Drosophila melanogaster: one gene and its partners. The gene in region 2 interacts genetically with the main gene of each other region. Each region holds a gene or a part of one and is shown on either strand. Other genes may lie near its edges. The genes, in order: fra, trio, ena and PlexB.

The links.
Region 1: of trio (region 2) and fra, changing one enhances a phenotype caused by changing the other (phenotypic enhancement), as found in Drosophila melanogaster (one study listed by BioGRID).
Region 3: of trio (region 2) and ena, changing one suppresses a phenotype caused by changing the other (phenotypic suppression), as found in Drosophila melanogaster (one study listed by BioGRID).
Region 4: of trio (region 2) and PlexB, changing one enhances a phenotype caused by changing the other (phenotypic enhancement), as found in Drosophila melanogaster (one study listed by BioGRID).

The regions. Positions count from the first base shown.
Region 1 is NT_033778.4:12,527,122-12,532,100, forward strand, and holds the start of fra (frazzled), read left to right. Parts: upstream 1-1,931; 5' UTR 1,932-2,605; coding exon 2,606-2,705; intron 2,706-4,979.
Region 2 is NT_037436.4:1,031,828-1,036,691, reverse strand, and holds the start of trio (trio), read left to right. Parts: upstream 1-1,816; 5' UTR 1,817-2,194; intron 2,195-2,626; 5' UTR 2,627-2,863; coding exon 2,864-3,042; intron 3,043-4,864. Other genes in the region: CG9205 (uncharacterized protein), read right to left, coding at 471-660, 736-1,132, 1,231-1,318.
Region 3 is NT_033778.4:19,153,641-19,161,267, forward strand, and holds the start of ena (enabled), read left to right. Parts: upstream 1-1,580; 5' UTR 1,581-1,834; coding exon 1,835-2,727; intron 2,728-5,093; coding exon 5,094-5,415; intron 5,416-5,479; coding exon 5,480-5,712; intron 5,713-6,142; coding exon of another isoform or gene 6,143-6,154; coding exon 6,155-6,395; intron 6,396-6,536; coding exon 6,537-7,262; intron 7,263-7,333; coding exon 7,334-7,492; intron 7,493-7,553; coding exon 7,554-7,627. UniProt on the Drosophila melanogaster protein: Functions, together with Abl, trio and fra, in a complex signaling network that regulates axon guidance at the CNS midline. Required in part for robo-mediated repulsive axon guidance. May be involved in lamellipodial dynamics.
Region 4 is NC_004353.4:40,778-45,582, forward strand, and holds the start of PlexB (plexin B), read right to left. Parts: upstream 3,002-4,805; 5' UTR 2,648-3,001; coding exon 2,137-2,647; exon of another isoform or gene 1,997-2,136; intron 509-1,996; coding exon 1-508.

The DNA of each region.
Region 1 (4,979 bases), on a different chromosome or scaffold from region 2:
CTAACTTAATTTAACTTACTTTGTTGTTGTTCTCTCTCACCGGTTTGCTGGCCATTGTTGTTGCTGCCAGGCGTCGCAATTTGCTGCCTGCGTCGCCTGTCGCCGCCAATTAAGTCGGGAAATGGCCAACTATTTTAGCCGACTGACAATCAAAGTGATGGAAATGCATACTAATAATAGTAAGCCCTGATTAATCAGGTTTTTATTAACAGAAAGTACTTTAAACTCTATCTATATACCTAATTTAAAATCAAACTTAATTGTATCCCTTCCAGAATATCATAACTCATGAAGTATCACTTAAGCAAATATTCTGAACTTCCTAATGGCTCTGGATTTAAAATCTTTGCCTTTATTAGTTCTACCCAAGTTAACAACTTTCTTAGGAAGCGATTTGCAGTGAAAGTCTTTAGTGCCATGAACAATGGATTTGCCAAGTTAAACGAGAGAACCTTTTATATATTTAAGCAATTTCCATGTCCGAAGTGCATGCCTTAATTTATATATTACCACACACAGGCTTAATTCACTTAAGCGCCTTTTCGTGTCGGCACCTAAAAGCTTTGAATGGGAAGAACATCCGAATCAGAATCCAAATCACCATCAGTCGCCGCGTTTTGTGGGTGCCCAGAAGTTGCCCAACTTCAAGCTGGCATAACAGATACAGGGATGCGGATGCACATACAGATACGGATACTCGAAAGACTCGGTAGCTCGGATTAATTAAAACTGAAAATTGCAGTGGCGTCTGGTGGGGAAATGTGTGTGCTGCTTTTAAAAAACCTGCAATTAGCAGCGAAAAATCTCCGGTTCTGGTAATTTGATCCAAGTCCTCGAAACTTGACCCACATTTTGTGGGCATACGGATGATACGCTAATGAAGGGAATTTCATTTCACTTATTTTTGCGGCCTGCCAGTCCAAAAAAAAATGCCTCCCCCTTCTTTTTCACCCCGTCGTTTATTTTTACGACGCTTTCGCTTAAGCGCTGGCATTTAATGTGAAATTTATCATTTCAACGCCACGCCCCCCACCCCACGCCCAACCAACAATTTGTCGGCCTTGGTCGGATTTTTTATTGCGTTCACATTTCTCCGAGGCGAAAAGTGATATGTTCATTTTTTCAGCCTTTAAAGTTCCTGCTGGTTGCTGGTCGGCGCTTTTAAAATGAGTGTTCCTTTGCCACATGCATTTTTTTAGAGCCACAACTTTTAACCACAACCTGTCTGCACGTCGGTTGCTCGGGGGTGGCAATCACTGGCCAACTGCAAAAAATGCATTTCAAACAGGAGATTTTCCCATTGGTTTGAGCATAAAGTTTTCTGTCAAAGGATTTTTCTGAAATAACGTACTTATGAACAAGATCAGTCGGGGAGAAAGTTGAGGTACATTTCGAAAGCCATTAAAATTTTTAAGTATTAATCTCCTGTGACTCTCATAAAAAGAAATTTGTGTAAAGTAAAACCGAAAATATGTGAAATTTTAAAATATTTAAAAATATAGGAGCAAACCTTTTGAATACCGATATAAATTCATATGATTAATATCCCAACTGCAAATGTCCTCGAAATAATAATGTTTGTTGCTTTTGATGTGTAATTGACTTTGGTCCTAACTTTTGAATTACGCGCCATTTGGAATAAATTGCTCAACTGACCTTAACGCGTTTTTGGTGATGTGCACTCCAGTATCGATTGCTTTTCAATGTCGATGACAGTCATTAAAATATATTATGATTACGTTAGTAAGAAAGCTGAGCACTGATTACTACGTTACTTATGGAAACCCCTTTGTAAAATGATAATGAATTTATAATATGCAAGAATAACATGGTGCGAAAGTCATTTCATCGTCATCGATAGTAGTGAGACCATCGATAAGCATCGATAGCGGATGTGTTTTCGCATCACCCGCGCAGCTAGGGATTTTTTCGACAGTTTCGGATTTTTTTTCGGTCGTCGAGGTCGTTGCGCGCATGTATACTCTTTAGTGGCGAGAAAACGCGTTTGCCAATAGTAAAATCCATCGCAAAGAGGTAGAAAATTAAAATAAGTGCAGCCAAAATCGAAAATAAATGAAAAAGGCACTCAAATAATACATACAGCCGCTGAAAATGTGTTTTAAATAGAACTGCAGCTGCAAGTCCTGATGCCTGCCGAAGGTTAGAGCGAGACAACGCTACTTACTCGAGTGTGTGTGCGCAATTTGTTGATAGTATTTTCTGTTGTTGTAAAAATGCCCCGCTTGCAAGCGTGCAATAACAGCAACAACAAGACCTGAAACAACAACAATAGGCGGCGAATGCCGGCAAAACAAAAACGCGTAAACGATTGATGCGAATAGCGTAAAACAAGAGAATCGAAAGCAATAATCGCCCAAGAATACACAACAAAAGTGGAGTGAGTAAAAGTCGCGTGTGAGTGTTTGCGTCGCGTGTATGTGTGGGTGCAAAGGATACAAATAGAAGGCGCAATCGGCGATTGGCGGGTATCAAGAGCCAAAATGTTGTAAACAAATCGCAAAAGTCCAAATAAACCTGAGCCATTCGAATTACCTCCGATCGCAAACGACGGTTTCCAGCCAAATCAGCGAAAAGCAAACAGAATATGGCCATCACAACAAACAGAAGCAGCAGGACTTTGTGGAACTGGCTGCTCAGCAGTTGTCTCATATTCCAGCTGATTGGCAGCAGTTTGGCAAGTCAAGGTGAGAACTTCAATCTGAAATGATAAATATTTTGCACCAAAGTGCCGTAAGAGGGCTTTATAAAAATGTAGATAGTTTCTATCTTTCGCTGTGCAGGTTGTCAATTTATAATTTTAAACCAAAGACCCATGAAATCCAAGCTTAGTTGCTTACACAGAAAGACATTATCAAATTGTGTACATATATAGATTATTAAAGAGATTATAAAAGATATAAAAAAAATTTTATGAACATGTGATTGAACTTTAATTCTTGGGCTGCGCCTTAATTGCCTTCTGACAGGAGGAAATAATCTAAAACAGTGTATAAATTCGGTAGATTAGATGAGTTTATATCACTTCAATAAATATTACGATTAAATAGTACGAATAGATGAACTACGTGGTTTGTCAGCCCAGTAATTTTTAGTTCACTACACTCATCCACCATATTTTATGACACTATCTGTTACTTTACTCTTCGTACAATTCCCTATCTATGTTGTGTATTCGGGTACCATAAAGTTCGATATCTGTATTTTAACAAATATGAATGCAAGTACAGTTTTGGCGACTGGATGTCTGGTCGACGTGCCAGAAAGCAGGCATTGGGACCCACAAAAAAAAAAAAGCCTCATGTGCGAAAGGTGATGTCAACGGCGAACTGATCCGATAAGCTGTCATATTTCGCAACTCGCGCTCTTTTTGCACTCGTAAAATTGAGGTACTTTCAAAAACCCTGCCCTATTCCATCCACATGTGCCAATCACCCGGGGTAATTCACCGTAATTGCTTCCCATCATATCACCTGCAGATAAGAACTCAAAATGGGATGGTTGCGAAACCGATAGTGCTTCAAAACTTAAACATTACTAATGAGCTTCGCTTGAAACGAGATAAACTAAACACTGCACAACATGAATTGAAAACCAACGCACTTGTTTGCGATTATTTGAGCCAAAACAAACACGATTTCCTGTGAAAAAGTATTCTGAAATCGAAGAAATAGAATCCAACAAAATGGTAGCCGTAAGAGTCATTATCATTAGCTCAAAGCCAGGGAACAAGTGATCTTAGGGGATCAGGTAGGTAAGCGCAGGTAGAACCAGTGCAGCCCAAAATGCAATTAGGTTTTAGGATCAGGCACAGTTTCAGTTTTAGGTCCCAGAAGAAGATTACCCAAGATCGGTGGGCAGCTGCACAATGCATCAATTGATTGATTTGGTTTGAAAACTAAGCCAGGGGTGGCTTAGAGGCTTATCATATTTCCATTTTCGGCTGGAGAAATAAACAATCGCGTAAAATGAGGGAGGGATAATGGAAATCCCCGCAAAAGGCGCAAATAATGCAAACAAATTAAATGTCCTGCCGTGAATCTCGTCTCTGCGCCATCTTCGAAACGAGAAAGAAAAGCCACCCCTAAAAGTGAAAAGTGTCCTGGAAAAACGGGGAGCCGCCTTATCAGCTGCAAAATTTATCAACGCCAGCTCCAAGACAGCCCGAAAAAGGACCCCAAAAAAAGTGCGGTCGTAAAAAATTGTCGGGGCATGTCATATGCAAATGGAATGAAAAATCTTTGAACAAATTTTTAGGTCATGGCATGTCATAAGTCGCAGGACTTAATGCCAGATTTAATTAAAAGCATTCCCTCACATAACTTCAAGCTTTATGTGGTGGGTATGTAATTAAAAAAAAAAGAAAACAACTTTACTTACATGGGTGTAACTAGCTGAAAAGAATTGTGTGACAACAATGGACTCACGTGGCTTCACGACCACTTAGTACCGTATAATAATGCATCAATTAAGGTTGATAAGATACTATGAAAGTAAGACAAAGTTAGACATTTCCGTGTTAGTTAAATTAAATTATAGAAAAGCATTTTAATAATTTATTTTGATCTTTAGATCTATGTGGCCTTAAGACACCCTTGTGGTTTTTTCTATCTTGCTAAACAAACTAGTTGATTTTATAGAAGGATCCTACTTATACCGTGTACGAAAAACTCACGTGCGAGGTCCTGTTCCCATTTTCGTGCTTATTTGTGGCGCTCTGTGTTTTCACTTTCCTGGTCATATTTCCTCGCTCTTTAGCCCGTGAATTGTGGCAATTGTTTGATGTTGTCCTGGGCGAGTCGCCTCACCCTGGCGTTCACTGGCTTTTTCCCGTGGCCAGGAGCACATTTAGCCGCATTACGTGATACAATATATGAGTGACATGTTATTCTAATTTCGCACCCCTTTTCATATTCCTGGACACATTTTTTCCGCTCGTTCCGAGGGTGCGCTTGTCAAAA
Region 2 (4,864 bases):
CCAGTTCCCCCAATAGACTTTGATGTTCCCACACGTATCGAAACTTAACGAATTACTTTCGGAATAGGATGTAATATAAGCAGTGGCAAGAGTTAGCGGCTAAATCTCCTGGATATTGTGTATCTTTGTACGATCTGGATCAGCGTCCAAGTCCACGTCCAAAACTCAACATTTTCTATAAACTTTAGTGCAAACTTTATGTTCAAATTAACTTTAAATGTCGAAATGAATGTTCTAATTAATCGAAGAAAACAAAAAACATAAAAACTTAAAAACGGAAAACCGAAACGAACAAAAAGTATTTTATAAAAACATTGAAAAGTAACCCAACCTGAAAGTCTTCTCATTGCTTACCAAACCGTTGTCTTGAATCTTGATTCTTGATTTTGCATTGCGGTTTGGCTTAGTGTTTATTGGGCATATCTTAGTGGAAACTGGAAACTGGAGACTATCCTTGCAGCATGCATCTCTCAAAGCACAAGAGGCACGGCCTCTGCCACCGGCTGGTTGATCTCCTGGTGGCGTTGCAGTAATCCCAAGCACTGGTGCAGGCACTGGGTGCTGGCCGTGGAGATCGCCTTGAGCAAAAGAAGATCGGGATCCGTTGGCGAGAAGGAAGCGCAGTCGATGCTCTCGATGGCCCTGGCCAGAGAAGCGTTGCTGGAAGGGTTTGGGGATAGATTTATAGATTGCAGGAGGTAATGCGGCGTTAGCTACGAATCACTGTGCAGTTACCATTGTTCCGTGAGAAACAGAGCTTGGCGCGCTGAAACCATGGCATCGGAGGCGGCAAGCAATTCCCGCGGAGGAAGCGGCGACGAGTTGCTGATGTCCATCGCCTTCATGTGACTCTCGACCACCGCCCGCAGGCCATCCACCCACTCCTGACGGGCCCTGGCATCGTTGGCCCTCAGCTTTACCGTATCGCCGGAGGCGCAGGCGATGGCGAACGTCCTAGAGTCCTCGTCACTCGGGTACACCACTGCGCCGGCCAGCTGCACCTGGCCCCTGGGAGCACTGGCCAGGACGTGGGGCGAGGGCGCGATGTCGTCGCCCACCGTCGACGAGTCGCACAGGTAGTAGCTCAGCGATCCTGTCTTGGCGTCCACCGTAAACCAACGGTACTGCCATCCTGCAAAGTGGATGCTGCGATTAGGGAAGCGGTTCTAGCGGGGATTCTATGGGATGGAGAGCTTGAAGGTGCTGCTCCAAAGGTGAAAGTTTGCTCACCCTTCATCACATTGGTGTATTTGCTGAGCTGACCGCAGAGTTTCAGTTTGGCCGATTCACGAATGATCCTGTTCAAGTTGCTCTCCATTTTGGCGGCGGCGTCCTTGGGATCGGGGCGCACTGGGGGCGTGGCCTGCCGTGGGCGGTGCTTCTTCTTGCGCTGGCGAAGCGAGTTCTTGATTTTGCGTAAAATGTTTGCAGGTATATTAATTTGATTCGGGTTTATTTGGTAAAACTCGGCAGAAACGGAAGCTAATGAACAACAGACAGTGTTGTATCAGCGAGCTTATGCTAGCAGGCGAGCATCGATAGTAGTACAATCGATGCCTGTTATCGTAGATAGTTGGTATTTTTACATATTATTTAAAAAAAGTCAAAATATTTAATATTTAATCATAGGTATCATTTTGAGATAATCATGAGCGTAACTATGTAGACTTTTTTAAGAAAAACTCTACTCAATTGCGATGCCTTATGACTATCGATTATTAACACCTATCGAGGCACGCAATCGGTGTGCTCGATTAAAAAAGGCTGAAAATTCAGTTTGTAAGCCGTTTCGGCATCTGGTCACACTTGTCGTTTCGCAAAATCCAATTTGTTTAAACAAAACAGAGAGCGCCCGTTCGTAAAATCGCGGTTTCTTGAAAAATGAAAATTTTAGCTTAGCCCGCGTCAAGTCGCGAACTGCGTGCAACGGTAACTTGGGTGATTTTACCGGTGGGAAAGCGTGTGAAAAACAAAAGCAGCGCGAGTGAAAAAAATCAATTTGGTGGCACAAGCAGTGGCAAGAAGAAGAGCCAAGACGCAAGAGAACTGCTTGCGGATGATGTGATGATACAGATATACATAGCATATACATATGTATATACAGGCTATATATACGTCTGGAGTTTGTGTTCAAATTGAGGCAATTAAAACATAGCGGATTTTCGCCCGTTCGCAGTGGCGAATGTTGTGTTGAGTGTGTATATTTCCAAATAATGTTTCAACTTGTGTGCCTGCCTGCGCGAGTTCTATTTGATGTTTTTATGCTGCGTGTGATTTATGACATTTAACGGGAGTACATATGTATACATGTGTGCACATGCCACATACACATACGCATATGTATGCACCCCCATGCGAGTGTGTGTGTTTGCCCGTCTGTTTGTATCTCCCTCTCACTCCCACACGCACGAAAGTGCGAGGGTGACTGAAGAAAAAAACTCCACTCCTTGCATCTAAAAATAGGAAAACTACACAAATTGTGTGCAAATTATGTGTAGCATTTAGAAAACCAAGTGAAATACCCATTGCTAATCTGCATCTCTGCTTCCCCACTCATTTTCCACCCACACACACACACGCACACACGGGCAAACACACGAAAACCGCAACAACACAAACACAACAGCAAAAGAGTGACCATGAAAATGCCAGCGAGAAATTTGCGAAAATCAATGAGCAAAAGCAGCGGTTCATAATAATAACTAATAACAGAGCCAAAACAAGTGAAATTCGAGGCTGGAATTCGTTATGCTGCAGTGCCCATCGTCGGATTAAAAAACGGGCGGAGACCCCCCAGTTTAACCCCTCCAGTGATTAACCCCCGGCCGCTTTAACCACCCCTCCCCCTTCCCCTGCCGACGGCATGGACGGCCAGCGGGCCAGGGATCTCCTGACCCTCCTCCAGGAACGGGTCGTCTTCCTCACGGGCGGACGGGACCGGCGCGGCGGACCGCTCCTCTGCTTCCCGGCCACGCCCCGTCGCGATCGCCTCAAGCCGGAGGATCTGCGGCGTCTCCTCAGCTACCTGATCAGCATTCCCAGGTGAGGATGTAGTTGCTACTACCACATAGGAATAGCCATTTAGTTAGTTAGGTTCTATTGACATCCAATTGGATCTGGGCAAAGGTCGTCCATCTCAAAATTGTCTATGTTATAACTATATTTATGTTATCTATGTATTACGAAAGCACACGTAGAAGTATAAATATATTAAAATACAGCAAGATAAATAATTATGAACATATTGCCGAGAAAAAAAAGAGTGCAGCTAATTCTTAATCTATGCCTGCACTTTATTACGTTAAGTTATTGTTTGATAAGCACTAGCCATGATAATAATTTAAAATTGCAATAATATGATAACACTCAGCAAAGTAAAGAGGACCATTTTCATATTTTGTACATTTAAATATGTTGCTTTTCTAGATTTCATCACAAACTAATTGGCTTAATTCGTAGCATAGACATTTACATTTTTATAGACTTTTTGATTTACGAGCTATAAATAAAGCATAGAAAATTCTTGGAACTTATAATGACTCACCCAAATCATCTTGCACCTAATTAAATTTTACACTTTTCATCTTGACATATACATTCTATATATGTATATTTGATCAACTTTTCTTTAAAAACGTCCAGCTTAGTTAAGTGCACTCAAAGTGGATTGCATGACTGCCAGCTTTAGTTACAATTTAGATGAATTGAAAACGTCAAGTTCTTAGATATTTATACTGCAATGTTGCCTTTGGCGGCACAAGTCCAAATTTCTCCGGCCTCCTGCATTTTGTATTTACAGCACAGGGAACTCTCGTTAGTAAACAACTTTTTCGGCTTGGAGACTAATCACGAGTTTGTAGCTTTTAGAAATCGTTGTAAATAGCATCTTCGATCTTTAGTTATGTAGTTTATTTGTATTTCGATCTCTTGTTAAATTCCGAATACCACGCAGCTGCGGTTTCGCGTTACTGGGGCCTTACTGTACCAGTACAATGGCAACCCATTGTGTCAGCTGACGTCGCGACATCGCTGGCTGCGCTTCGTTTGCAATTTCGGAGGAGTCGCGACGTCGTCGCCTCACCCGCACCAACATATATATATCGTATATATATATATTTTGAATAGGGGGAGGATGCAGGGGTGCTCGCGAGAGGGGGAGGAGGGGGAGAGCAGCTGCTGCAGCTGCATTGCCACATTCCACTTGATTTTCCTGTTATAGTCGTCGTTCGCCTGCAGTCGCATTTTTATGAATCATCATCGTTCGACGATTGCAAGAACAGCACGCACATTGTTCTTGGCTCGCCCTCTCTTTCTCGCCACATATGCCCATCTCTCTCTCACTCAGCTGGCTGCTGTTGACATTGAATCGCCGAAGTGCGGGTCAAAATGGGTGGCACAGAGGGCCATGGCGGGCTAAAAAAGTCATAAAAGTAAACGTTCTCCAATAAAAACTAGCAGCAACAAAAGTTGCATAAATCTGTGCGGCGAAGAAAGCACCGAGAACAGAGAAGAAGAAGAAACAGCAAAAGAACACACAGATACAAACGCATACATACATACATATGTATGGGCAAAACCGGGGACCGGCTTCCAAAGTCTTTAAGAGCCGAACTCGAAGAATGCGAATATTTTTTGCTGCTGCCCCAAAGACTAAAAAAAACCACAACAAAAACCGAAATGAGCCGTAAAACGAGAGGAAAGAAAGAAAGAAAGGGTAATTTGGGCGAACAGTGCTGCCTCGATAACACTGACATGCAGACATTTATAGCACTCTGTGTGCTTAAAGTAAAAGTGCGAGTCTAAATCCATTGTTTGCTTAATTAGATTGAACAATAGTTTTGGCTAACTCAACGATAAATATCCA
Region 3 (7,627 bases), on a different chromosome or scaffold from region 2:
TGTTTTGAGTCTCCTGACTGCCTGGCAACCTACTTTGTGACTCCGCTGCTCACATGTGTGGGCCCTGTTTGTTTTTATGATTTTTTTTTTTCCAGTCCGATGTCTGCCTGCGGGTCTTTATGGACAGCCATATGGATTACTCCAGTACTCGCATTCGTAGTGCCCCTTAGAAATATTTAGTTGCCAAATCATTTAAGCCGCGGCACACGCTCTGGTCCAAAAAAAAAAAAAAACAAAACAAAAATGGTAAAAAAAAAAAACGAACTGAACCATTCTGACAGAGCCATTAAAGCTAGCCGGTAATCGGTTGGCTCAAATCAGAGATCGGTGAACCACCAACAGCCACTACACAACCACTTACAATGGGCCACAATAATGTTAATTGGAAATAACGTTTAGGAATTGTTGTGGGGCAAAAAACCGAATCAGACTGAAACATAAGCCAGCGAGTCAGAAACAGAGGCTCAGATCTCTGAGAGCTGAGTGCTCCAAGTTGAGATAGACAATGTTGTATATGAATTTTTCATAACATGCTACAAGCTGTGCCTCCAGGTACCTCCCCCCCCCCATTTCCCGCCGCCGTCGCCGCTTTTCGCCGCCAAAGAACAGTTGAAATGAAGGAAACAAAAACGCAGCGAGCGAGGGAAAAATACTTGTAATAGTCACTCGAGGGGGAAATATAAATTATTGAGCTCGTTTCTTAAGTAATTATCGCACTGACGGACGGAACCAACTTACTGAATCACAAACACTGACCGAATGACTAACTGGCGGATGGACAGACTGACCAACTGGTTAAACGACGGTCACGAGACGTCGGCGAGGCTTCAAGATTGCCGGCAGAAAAAAGCCTCGGGCGCAACTTTGTAAGATTCGAGAGCTTATCGCATACCCTTCGAAACTGCATAAGAAATTTGAGATGGAACTTGCGCAATTTCATAGCTAGGCGAAAAGTTGTAAGGGTATGCCCTACAATTCATTGTATCATTGTAGCTCTCTGAAGATATTGCATATTTTAGGGAAACTGCTTGAAACTCTGTTTCAGTGCCTGAAAACTTCTCAAAATATAAACTTTTGAGTATTAAAATAAAATCGCCTTTCAATAATCTGAATCTTACATCCTTCCCTCAACGAAAATCGTGTAAAACGAGAACGTTTTTTCTCAATAGGTTCTATGCAGACTACTTGCCCTCACGTCTTTTAATTGTCATGCCATTTGGGAATCGTCTGAAGCGACTGTGAGTCAGGTTGTGGTCTCTCCATCTACCTGGCCATTATGCTCGGTTCCCAGCTCGGGGTCAATCCAGCTCAACATCCATAGCACATCTCATCATTTCTCATTATTTTATTGACTTTGAAGTGTAATTATTTGCCTTTTAGACGAATTCAAAGCGCAGCAGCCGCTAAAATGAGAGAAAAATACAGATTGTGAGCCGATACTCAGTTTCTCGCTCACGTCTTTTCTGCTCATTCGCCTTTAGATATATTTTTTTTCTCGGCTTTTGTTTGTCTTGGCCTCGACTGAGAGACCGTTTCGGTCTCTGAGACCCAGTCGCGATCTCGGTCTGGATCTTGGCTTTAGTCTCCAGCGGGTCTTGAGTGCGTTCAGACGTGTGCAGCTGAGATCTTGGAACGACGAATGGTGATCGGTGATCTCTGATCAGTGACCAGTGGGCAGAGAGCGAATAGCCAAGATCCAAGAGCCTAGGCAAACATAAATACGATACATCCGATCCGATCCGATCGTTCGGTTTCATAGTGTGCTTAAGTGTGGGATCGATCGTGGGATCTGTTTAGTGTCTGTGACGCCTCTGCAAATATTGGCCAACGGTTAATGGCCATGAAGAAGCTCTACGCGAAGACCTCGTTCACCAGCAAGAAGCCATCGAGTGCCGCCAATTCCACTCCGATATTGGCCTACCACCAGCAACAGCATCAGCAGCCGGGCAATGGCATTTGCGAGTTCCAGGTGGTGGCACCTGGTCACTCCGGTGAGCTAATGATACGCCGCAGCCAAAGTATGCACCACAAGATGTCGCCTCCAGTCGGCGGCCTGGGCTCCAAGTCGGAGTACTACAGCATTGAGGAGCTGCAGGAGCTGGATTTGCTGGACTATCGTCATCCCATGTACCATCATTATCAGCAGCAGGAGCTGAGGCAGCGCTACCATGAGCACGAGCAGTTGGTGCTGCAGTTACCCAAGGCTACTAGTCCAAAGGCAGGACCCATCTATGAGGCACCACAGAGATCTCAGCAGCAGCAGGATCAGATGTTGTATGTACCAACGGCAGCGCAAAGAGATTCATCATCAAGTGCTGCAGCCACATCTATAGCCAGCTCATCTACCCTAACTTCATCCCCATCGCCATCCTCCTCTTCATCTCTGATCTTTTCCACTTTGCGCAAATGCGTTTCGCCCTCGAATCCCTCGGTGAATCCGAACCAACCCTCAAAAACTCAACCCTCCAAACTGGGCTGTTCCATGTCGTTTTCAATTAGAACGACAACGGCAACAGCAGCCACAGCCGCAGCAGCAAATGCAGCAACAGCAACACTATCGACACAGCAGCAACAACAGCAGGCACAGCAGCAACACAAGCAACATCTCTATAGCAACATACATCATTATCTGATCCGACAACAACAGCAGAAACAACACTACACATTACAACGTCGCCATAATTCGGTCAAAGATAAATTCATTGGGGGCATTACAACGATTTTTGCGTATGTGTAACCCACTTCCCTATGCGTCTGTCCTTGGTTGGGTTCTGTAATAATTCCCATATTTCCCCACTTTTCTCTACTATACTTCTTCAATCTCAGCACGTAGTACTTGGCCCTGGACTTTTGAATGCGTTTTACAGCTTGGTGAGATCGTTCGTAAATCAAAGAACTCTTAACCCCCACAGAGCAGCCGCCGTCGTACTCTCCGGTTTAATCATAATTATAATTTAACGCCAATTAAGCTGGAAAACGCTATCGTGTGCACACGAATCTGCATCTTGCACTCGGCTGCAGTTTAAAAACTTAAGCTTAACGCACGAATAAATCCCCAAGGCATAGAAAATTTCACCTGCCACATATTGAAAATGCTCCCAAAGCGATTTTCCAGTGGCTCAATTATATTAGCATCCCATTTAACTGGCCATTTGCGGGGCACTTTTCGATTTTCATTTGGGTTTTCCACTCAGCTGCACAGCGCAAAAAAACGATTAAGATGTTAGTTTTTACTGAAATATTTAATTGCTTTCTTTAACGATTAAAATACTATGTATCACATGTGTCGATTTTACGATTCATGAACTCATTTCCATTTCTTTACAATCTAATGTAATTAAAACAGTCGTACAGTTCTATGATTGTAGCTTAAATCTCGGAATTGGCACGTTTAATAGGCACTTATTACGTGTAAAATCGAATGAAAGCATTTATGCACTGAATGTTAGTCACAAAATGCATTACTAATCCCAACTACTTTGCTGCTGCGAACTACTGAAATAATTTTAGTTGCATTAAAATTGTTTAAAAGAGTACAACACTTTTACAAAAGCAATTCTTTTGCTCACTCCGACTTCCTATAATTATTTTCGAATATGTAGTATCCAATTTATGAGATATAAATCGATTCGATTGTAAAAAACAGAAATTTAAAAAAACTGATTGACCGCTATTGTTTCGCAGTTTCTCATAGTGTGCAGAAAAAAAAAACTTCACTTTCGTTGCCACGAATTTCGATGCAAATCAAAGCGGACAGGCTCATAAGACTTAGCTCCAAACTGTCGGTGGTTATATAAGGCCCTGAAACGGCGCACAGCTGTGCCAGCCGCCAGAGTGCGACTCGGATTCGGATTGAGATTCGTCCGTCTGTCCAGCCGTCCGTACCGCCGATCTGCGCACTCCATTTAAGTGCAAAACTACTTGCGGCTTTTGGCCGGGCCAAGTCTGTAGCGAGAATACTGCCGACTCGACTCGTTTGGCGGCTGCTCTCCGTCATTATCTCTATGTGTCCCCCAGTAACACACAACTCGGAGCAACTTGGAGCAACTTGGAGCTGCTCAGGCAACTTGGAGCGGTGCAGGCTAGCAAAAACAAAAAAAGGGGCAGAGAAAAAAAGAAAAAAAAAAAGAACGGAGCTATAGGATAGAAAGAACACCACATAGCCAAGTTGAGCAAAAGGCAAGGCAACTCGTCATCGCCTTTGCATTTTTCCAATGAAGGCGTTCATTTGTCGCTGGCCATGTTTACTTCACTGGCTGACTTTAATTGTCAACTCAACTGAGTGTCCCGGGGGGAGAAAATGCTAAAGGTTGAATGCAGCATATACACGTTCATATTAGAACTTTCATTAGAATCATTTAATCGGTCCGTGCGACTCGAGACGATCATCTGGCTGGATGACAGGTGTGCGGGCATACAAAGAAATGCATTGCACTTCCTGTCCTGAAACCGATGGGATTAGAGGGGAGTCGAGGGTATACATAGATCAAAGCCCTTGCTCACTTGAGGCGTGTGAAAAGTCTGGAAGATCACGGTGCAGTAAAGTGCAGTTGAATGAGTTCTTCAAGGGGCAAATTGTAGAGCCGATCTAATGATCTGAAAACGACTGCTCATTGCGACATTCTTTCTGGGAAGTCTTAATCGAGTCTAAGAAGTTTTTTTTATTATGACGGAAAATCGATTTCTATGAATATATGTAGAAGCTTTCCATAGAACAATATATACTTTTTACTTCCAATCCCACGAAAGCCATCAATAAATTTGTATCTCTTTTATTGAACTCGTTTAGTGCAAATAATAAAGTTGCCAAATTTGACTAATTTGTTAGCACAACTTCCGTTTCGTTTCCCACGATCTTTTAAGACTTTAAAAGAGTTAACATCATAAAATGGAATTTTTGTACATACATATATGTTTCTCGCACATTTTCATATCTTTTCTTCTCAAGGCAAGGGCTATTCCCTATAATAAATTTTCAGCTCGAACTTCTTGAAGTGTGTTAAGTCCTCATCATTTCCATACACATTCAAGGTTCCATTCCATACCATTTAAGTCAGCCAACTAACCATAATATTCACACTTATTTCTTGCAGTGAGCAGAGTATTATCGGGGCGCGGGCCTCTGTGATGGTGTACGATGACAACCAGAAGAAGTGGGTGCCATCGGGCAGCTCGTCGGGATTGAGCAAGGTGCAGATCTACCACCACCAGCAGAACAACACGTTCCGTGTGGTGGGACGAAAGCTGCAGGATCACGAGGTGGTCATCAACTGCTCCATTCTGAAGGGACTGAAGTACAATCAGGCCACGGCAACATTTCATCAGTGGCGCGATTCGAAATTCGTTTACGGCTTGAACTTCTCGAGCCAAAATGATGCGGAGAACTTTGCTAGGGCCATGATGCATGCCCTGGAAGTAAGTATATCTCTTTCACAACCAATATCTGTATCATTCGCTAACATTTGAATGTCTTTCTCAGGTGCTCAGTGGTCGCGTGGCGAACAACCCAGGTGGACCGCCCACAAATGGCAATGGCTATGAGGAGGACATGGGCTATCGCACGATGACCAGCGAGGATGCAGCCATACTGCGTCAGAACAACAGCATAGGTGGGCACGTCACGCCCTCGGCCCAGACGCCCACCTCGCAGACCAACCAGAATAACATCCCCCAGAGCCCGCCGACGCCCCAGGGTCATCATCGCACCAGCAGGTAGGCTCCATTTCCATTAATTGTGTTGGATACGGCATGCTCATTGCTGTGGAAAAACCCATTAGCTTAGACTCGATTGATCTAACCATTCAAGAAATATTCAATTTTATGAGAATAAGTCATTAGCACATATTGGTCGGAAGGAACATCAGTTTTCTTTGAACATTATAAAGCTGAAAATCCGTGGTTGTTATAAATGAATCCTAAGATCAAAAATTTCATTAGTCTTCAGATGCAGATACATTTTCTTGCAAGATATGTAATGTAGGATACAATTGTAGGATTGCATTACGCAAGTTGGGAACAATTTCTATCCACTTACACATGAGCAGTAGGGGCCAACACTTTTATCCGAGTTCTCGTGTCTCATCTCTCATATCACTCATTGATCCATCCCCATCCCACGCCGAACCTTTGCTCACCCAAAAAGGAATTCCCTCAGCGCCCCACCGGCACCACAGCCCCAACAGCAGCAGCAGCAGCAGCAGGCGCAGCAAATGGGTCAGCCAGGATCCCACTATGGACCCACTGGAAATGGACCCACTTCGAATGGCCTGCCACAGCAGGTGAACTCACAGATTCCGCCGGCACCGCAGCAGCAGCCACAACAGCAACAGTTTCAGCAGCAGCAGCAGCAACAGCAATATCAGCAAATGGTCCAGGCGGGCTATGCGCCCTCTCAGGTGAGTTCGATATGCTATAACCTCACCCCGTCCCAGTTTCCTCATGCGGTATTTCTGTTTCATTTCATTGGCAAATTGGCTTGATCCTGAATCTGAATCTCCTGAAAACCCCGACACACCACCACCATCACACCCCAACAGCAGTATCAGCAACCCCACTACGTGCTCTCCAATTCTAATCCCAATCTAACTGTGCACCAATACCCGACACAGCAGGCGCAGCAGCAGCCACCGCAAGCGCCACAGCCGCCGCTCCAGAACGGTGGAATGTACATGGTGGGTCATGGTCATCTACCGAGCTCCGCGAGCGCCAACAGTGTTGTGTACGCCAGCCAGCAGCAGATGCTCCCGCAGGCGCATCCACAGGCACCTCAGGCGCCGACGATGCCAGGTCCGGGCTACGGTGGTCCACCAGTACCTCCGCCCCAGCAGCAGGCAGAGAATCCGTACGGTCAGGTACCCATGCCGCCGCCAATGAATCCGTCACAGCAACAGCAGCCAGGTCAGGTGCCTCTAAACCGGATGAGCAGCCAGGGTGGTCCAGGTGGCCCACCGGCTCCTGCTCCGCCCCCGCCACCACCCAGTTTTGGTGGAGCTGCTGGAGGAGGACCACCACCACCAGCCCCGCCACAGATGTTCAACGGCGCACCGCCGCCGCCAGCCATGGGCGGTGGACCACCGCCGGCTCCACCGGCACCGCCAGCAATGGGTGGCGGACCACCGCCAGCACCGGGCGGACCAGGGGCACCACCACCACCGCCTCCGCCGCCGGGATTGGGAGGAGCGCCTAAGAAGGAAGATCCCCAGGCAGATCTCATGGGCTCGCTGGCCTCCCAGCTGCAGCAGATCAAGCTCAAAAAGAATAAGGTAAAATATCAATTTATTTAATTTATACAACTTGACTAAGCATTGTATTACCGTTTATTTTTTATTTTTAGGTCACCACCTCTGCTCCGGAGAATAGCGGCAGCAGCACGTCCAGTGGCGGCAGCGGCAACTATGGAACCATAGGACGAAGCTCTAATGGCATGGCCTCCATGATGGACGAGATGGCCAAGACGCTGGCACGACGACGCGCCCAAGCAGAAAAGAAGGATGTAAGTCAACTTTGTTTAACTTATTCCATAATCAATATCTTAATTCGTTGGCATATTGCAGCCCGATCCTGAAGCCGAAGTGAAAAAACGCCCCTGGGAAAAGTCCAATACACTGCCCCATAAGCTAAGCGGCGG
Region 4 (4,805 bases), on a different chromosome or scaffold from region 2:
GTTACTTTCGCATCCCTTACAATATTGTAGTCAACATTGTTTTCAGTTGCAGTGCATTGAACAGTTATTTCAGTATAGCTGTCGTAATTAGGATCTGTAATGCAAATGCGTGCCAAGCGTGTTACATAACCGGCCTCATCAGCTAAATGTGATTTTTTTTGAACAATTATGAAGTACGCATATTCAGAAGAATTAAAGCCGTAAATATAATCGACTAGAAAATGATCCCGATATTTTACATCGATATTTATAATTGACTGCTGTATTGAAAATTCAGCATAGTTTAAATCATCAAGTCGGCGGGACGAAATGGCTGGCACGTCATGACGATAATCACCAACATTCGTAAATGTTGTCCCCACATATAAAATATCCTCTTCTTTCCACGCATATCTCGCCGGACCTACAAATGCATATGTAGACGCGTTTTCATCGTTAGCAGCCAATGGAACTGCAAAAAACTGGGGCGTTGCCGGAAAACGTGGCAGGCTGTAAATTTCGCAGGCTCCTGAAAATAAAGATAATTTTATTACTATCGCGGAATTTTTTAAAACCTATTTTAAGGACAAAATATAACACCTAAGTCATAGTATCCATTGGACTTGATATACCCGTAACTTGTAAAGTAAAAATGTATACTACATGTAGAACGGAACGTCACCGAGCCTATAAAATATCAAAAATCCTGATCTTGATCACTAACCGAGTCGATCTACTCATGTCCGTCTGCCTGTCCTTAGCCCACGATTTTCTCGCCGTGGCTCTAGAGGTTGCTCCAGGCTCTCTCGAATTTTTGTTCGAGAGCGAGAGAGCGGAGAGCGCTACAACGAACAGCTCTTTTCTACGCATACAGTGATACCAGACATCTGTGTGTGTGCACACGTGTGCTCATGCATTGTAAATTTGACAATATATGCCCTTCACCTTAGAAGTTCATAGACTTTAAATCTATATTATTTTTGATCAATTGGCACCATGCGAAAAATTCTTGTTTTGCATTGCCTTAACGTTATTATTATTTGAAAATAGATTAGAAAGAGTCAAACCTATGTACATATTATCACAAAAAAAAATTTCAAAAATGACTTTATAATATTATTATATTCATTAGAGTATTCAGCTTTCGACGTGTGAAAAATTAATAAGGCAATGATTGTTGAGTGCTTGTGTCCGCACTTCGTGCCTCAAGATACATATGACTTGCAATAAACAGTTTTCATATTTTTATTTATGTTAAAAATTTTTATTTTCTACTACGTATTATTTTTATGAAATTTTTTTAATTTTAATATGATGTATAAAATGATCCATTTTTATTATTTAAAATGCACATTAGATTCAGTTGTTTAGTTTCAGTTTTTTTTTTGTTATATTCCAATTTGATATTCCTAAAAAAGAGCGCAATTTCATCATATTGCTACGAAATTGGCCAAAACTTACCAAATATGTAAATTCGTTTATTCGATCAGAATTGATTTCAGGAACAGTAAAAATTGTTAACTGATTCGTTGAAAAGTATTTTAAAGACGATTCGCATCGCATGATTGAAGTAATATTATGCCCAAAACTGCCCGCCCATATTTTTGCAAACATTTTAGAATATTTTTTTTAATTTTATTAGTTGCTTAAACTTTTTGCCACGCCTACTCTAACTCCCTAAAGCCGCCAAACCGGTCACGCCCACACTATTGAACATTTTTCAAATTGTTTCTTCTTTTATTCCCCAATATCTATCGATATCCCAGAAAAATGATGAAATTTCGATTTCGAGTTCGCATTCACACTAGCTGAGTATCGGAGATCTTGACTATAGCATATTATCTTGTTTTATTTTAATACTTTAACGTTAATACTACCCAAATTGTTTCAAGAGTTCAACTATAGATTTTTTAATTTATAACATTTTAAAATCCTGTTTTGTTTATCATCATATTCCTTCCGCACTTTTGAATAATTACTTATATTCGCCGCTTTTTTATGTGGAGCTCAAAAACACTGCGACATTGTTCTACGATGACTACAAAAAATGACCAATAACTTCTATAAACCAATACGATATGTCAGGAGTTTCGGTCCCATACGAAGTCGCCGACTTAAGTATTTTATTTTTATTTTGATATGTGTTTGCTATTTTACCTTGTCGAATGCTTCCACACGCTATGAGAATACCATCGTGAGCGTAGCTTACTACTAGAATTTTGTTGAAGTTATTGACAAGCGATGTCTCAATATCTTCCGGACAGCCTCCAGCGTGACATTGCGGGGAATCATGTAACGGCCCAGTAACAGCCTCGGCCAGCACTCGAAGGTTTTCGTTAAGTTTAAGTATTTTATTTGTAGCACCCGCAAACAAAACATTGTGCATAAAGTCGAAGCTCATGTGAGTAAAATAATTTTTAGATTGAGAGTCTCTAACACTTTCTATATTGTTTCCAATTGATCGATTGCCATAGCTGGAAGCTGTTGATTGAACTGGTATTGATGGCAAGTTAAACTGGGCGACTATGTCATTTAAGGGAGATAACGCCTGAGCCGGCAGTTCTTCAATGCAGTTAACGCAATAATGCTGAGAACCGAGTATGATAATAATACACAGTACATGTAAAACATGTATAATGTTTGCACAATACAATTCCTTTCGCAACATATTTATTTGTGGTTTTGTGTATGATCAGTTTGTAGTTGAGTTTGGGCATCAATTCCCCATATGTCATTTTTATTATTATTTAGCTCTACATTCTCTCTCCTTAATATATAAACTTTTTAATATCGATTGAATTTAATGCGAATTAATTTTATATGCCGCTGATTCACTGTAGGTGCATAAATATTTTTAAATTAAAATGATCCATTTGGCTATTTTAGGTTTAGCGCATTTTTTATAAGGTTGTTTAACACAAAAAATCGATTAGTCAATGTAAACAAATATTTATTTAAAAAAAACTTCTTAGGCAACGCTCAAACGTTGTGTGTACACTATCAGTCCTAGAGCAGATTATTAGTATCGGCTGTATCAGCCTATCGCATACAAATTGAACTATCGAGCTAGAGGGCATTGTAATGCTGTATTCACAAGGAGCACATTAAAGGGAAGCTTACCATTAAAAACCTCGGAAGTATTTATGTAGATATCGTTTAAATGTTTTCAGTTCTGATTCCACATCCAATCAATTGGCTAATGTTAAAAGAAAAAAGAAAGAAGACACCACCGATGGAGTCTAAAATGTTCCAGGAACATTTTTGTAAAATAATATCAATGAAATGGTAGTCGCGTTAAAAAGAGCAATCTCCAAAGAATCTAAATTGATCTCATCTTCTTCCATGCAACACTTGCCGTGCGCGCTATTTTTATCTTAATATTGTTTTTGATTCGAGTGTTACAGACCCACCTATCTCTACACAAAGTTTTGAACAACATTGATTTATGTGGCACGATGGCTAAAATTTTATAAAATTATTTTAAAATCATAACATGTTTAATGTTAAATTATTTCATTAAGGGTTTCTCATGGCATGGAGGCTTCAACGCCACGTAGTGTTTGGGACTATTTATGTATATACTTATACTAATTTTACTTATGTACCTTTTTTACTATTAAAATTATATAAATTTAAAAAATTTGATTATTATTATTCAACAATTTTTGGAAAATTTGTCCAACGAATGGCTATTTTGCTAATCAATTGTCTTATTAATAATTTATTGAATTTCTCTACAACTGTAAATTAAGACCAACCGTCATTAAGACCTGTAAATTATTAACACTTAGTTAAATAAGTATCACTAAATAGATTATATCGGTGGGTTTTAAATTTTGACTGAATTGAAGATTCGATTTTTATATATTCTCAGAGAGATTTCTGATCCTGTCATACGTACATATGTATATACAATTTCATTTATTCTCCGAATATATAAGTTAAATTAGGGAACCACTACAGATATTGAAGTTTTATTTGTGGATTTTTTTCAACACTTAGCATTGGATATTGACCCCTATAAAAATGCTTCATCAATCCATTTGTGTAGTCACTTTGCAAGGGTGTACTTCGGTTAACCGACTATATTTCAAAGCGATAGTTAATGAAACTTATGCTGCTATCACATTATTTACTGTGAAAATTCTTTGTGAACTGAAGAGCAATCGGGAACATCGATCTTGACAACGCCGAATTCGTTTTGGTATAACACAGGATCTTTAGTTTATACTTGGTTGGCATCACATCGAAACTTAGCACGGGAAACCATGGTTAATCGACAATATTTGCGCTGTGCAACATGTACAAGTACATAAATAGAACTGTTTACACATAACAACAATGTATCAAAAATCCGTTAACAGCCGACGTGAACACTCGAAACATAACCAGACCTGCCGCAGAAAATGCTGCGATAAGAGATGCTAAAGAGATAAACCATCTCTTACCAAAAAGTTAGATTAGATTGACCAAAGAGGTTAATGTGTACACTTAAACTGTCTATAATCTTTACAACACATATAATGACAAACATGGATATTTTTCAACTCAATAAGAGAATAATTTATTAGGAATTTGGAATATCAAACGGCACAATGATACGCAGCTCTTACTTACTTACTTTTTATTAATTTTAATTTTCTTTTTACAAAAAAAAAAATGTATGCTTGGAGCAAATTATTAGGAATTATATAAGTATAATATTATTATTATAATAGTGTTATTCCCAGCTAAGAACAAATCGCTTGTCATCGGGAAAACGTTTTTGATTTTATAAATTAGTTTCCACCTTTCCAGTTTTGTTGGTTTGCACTCACAACTCACAA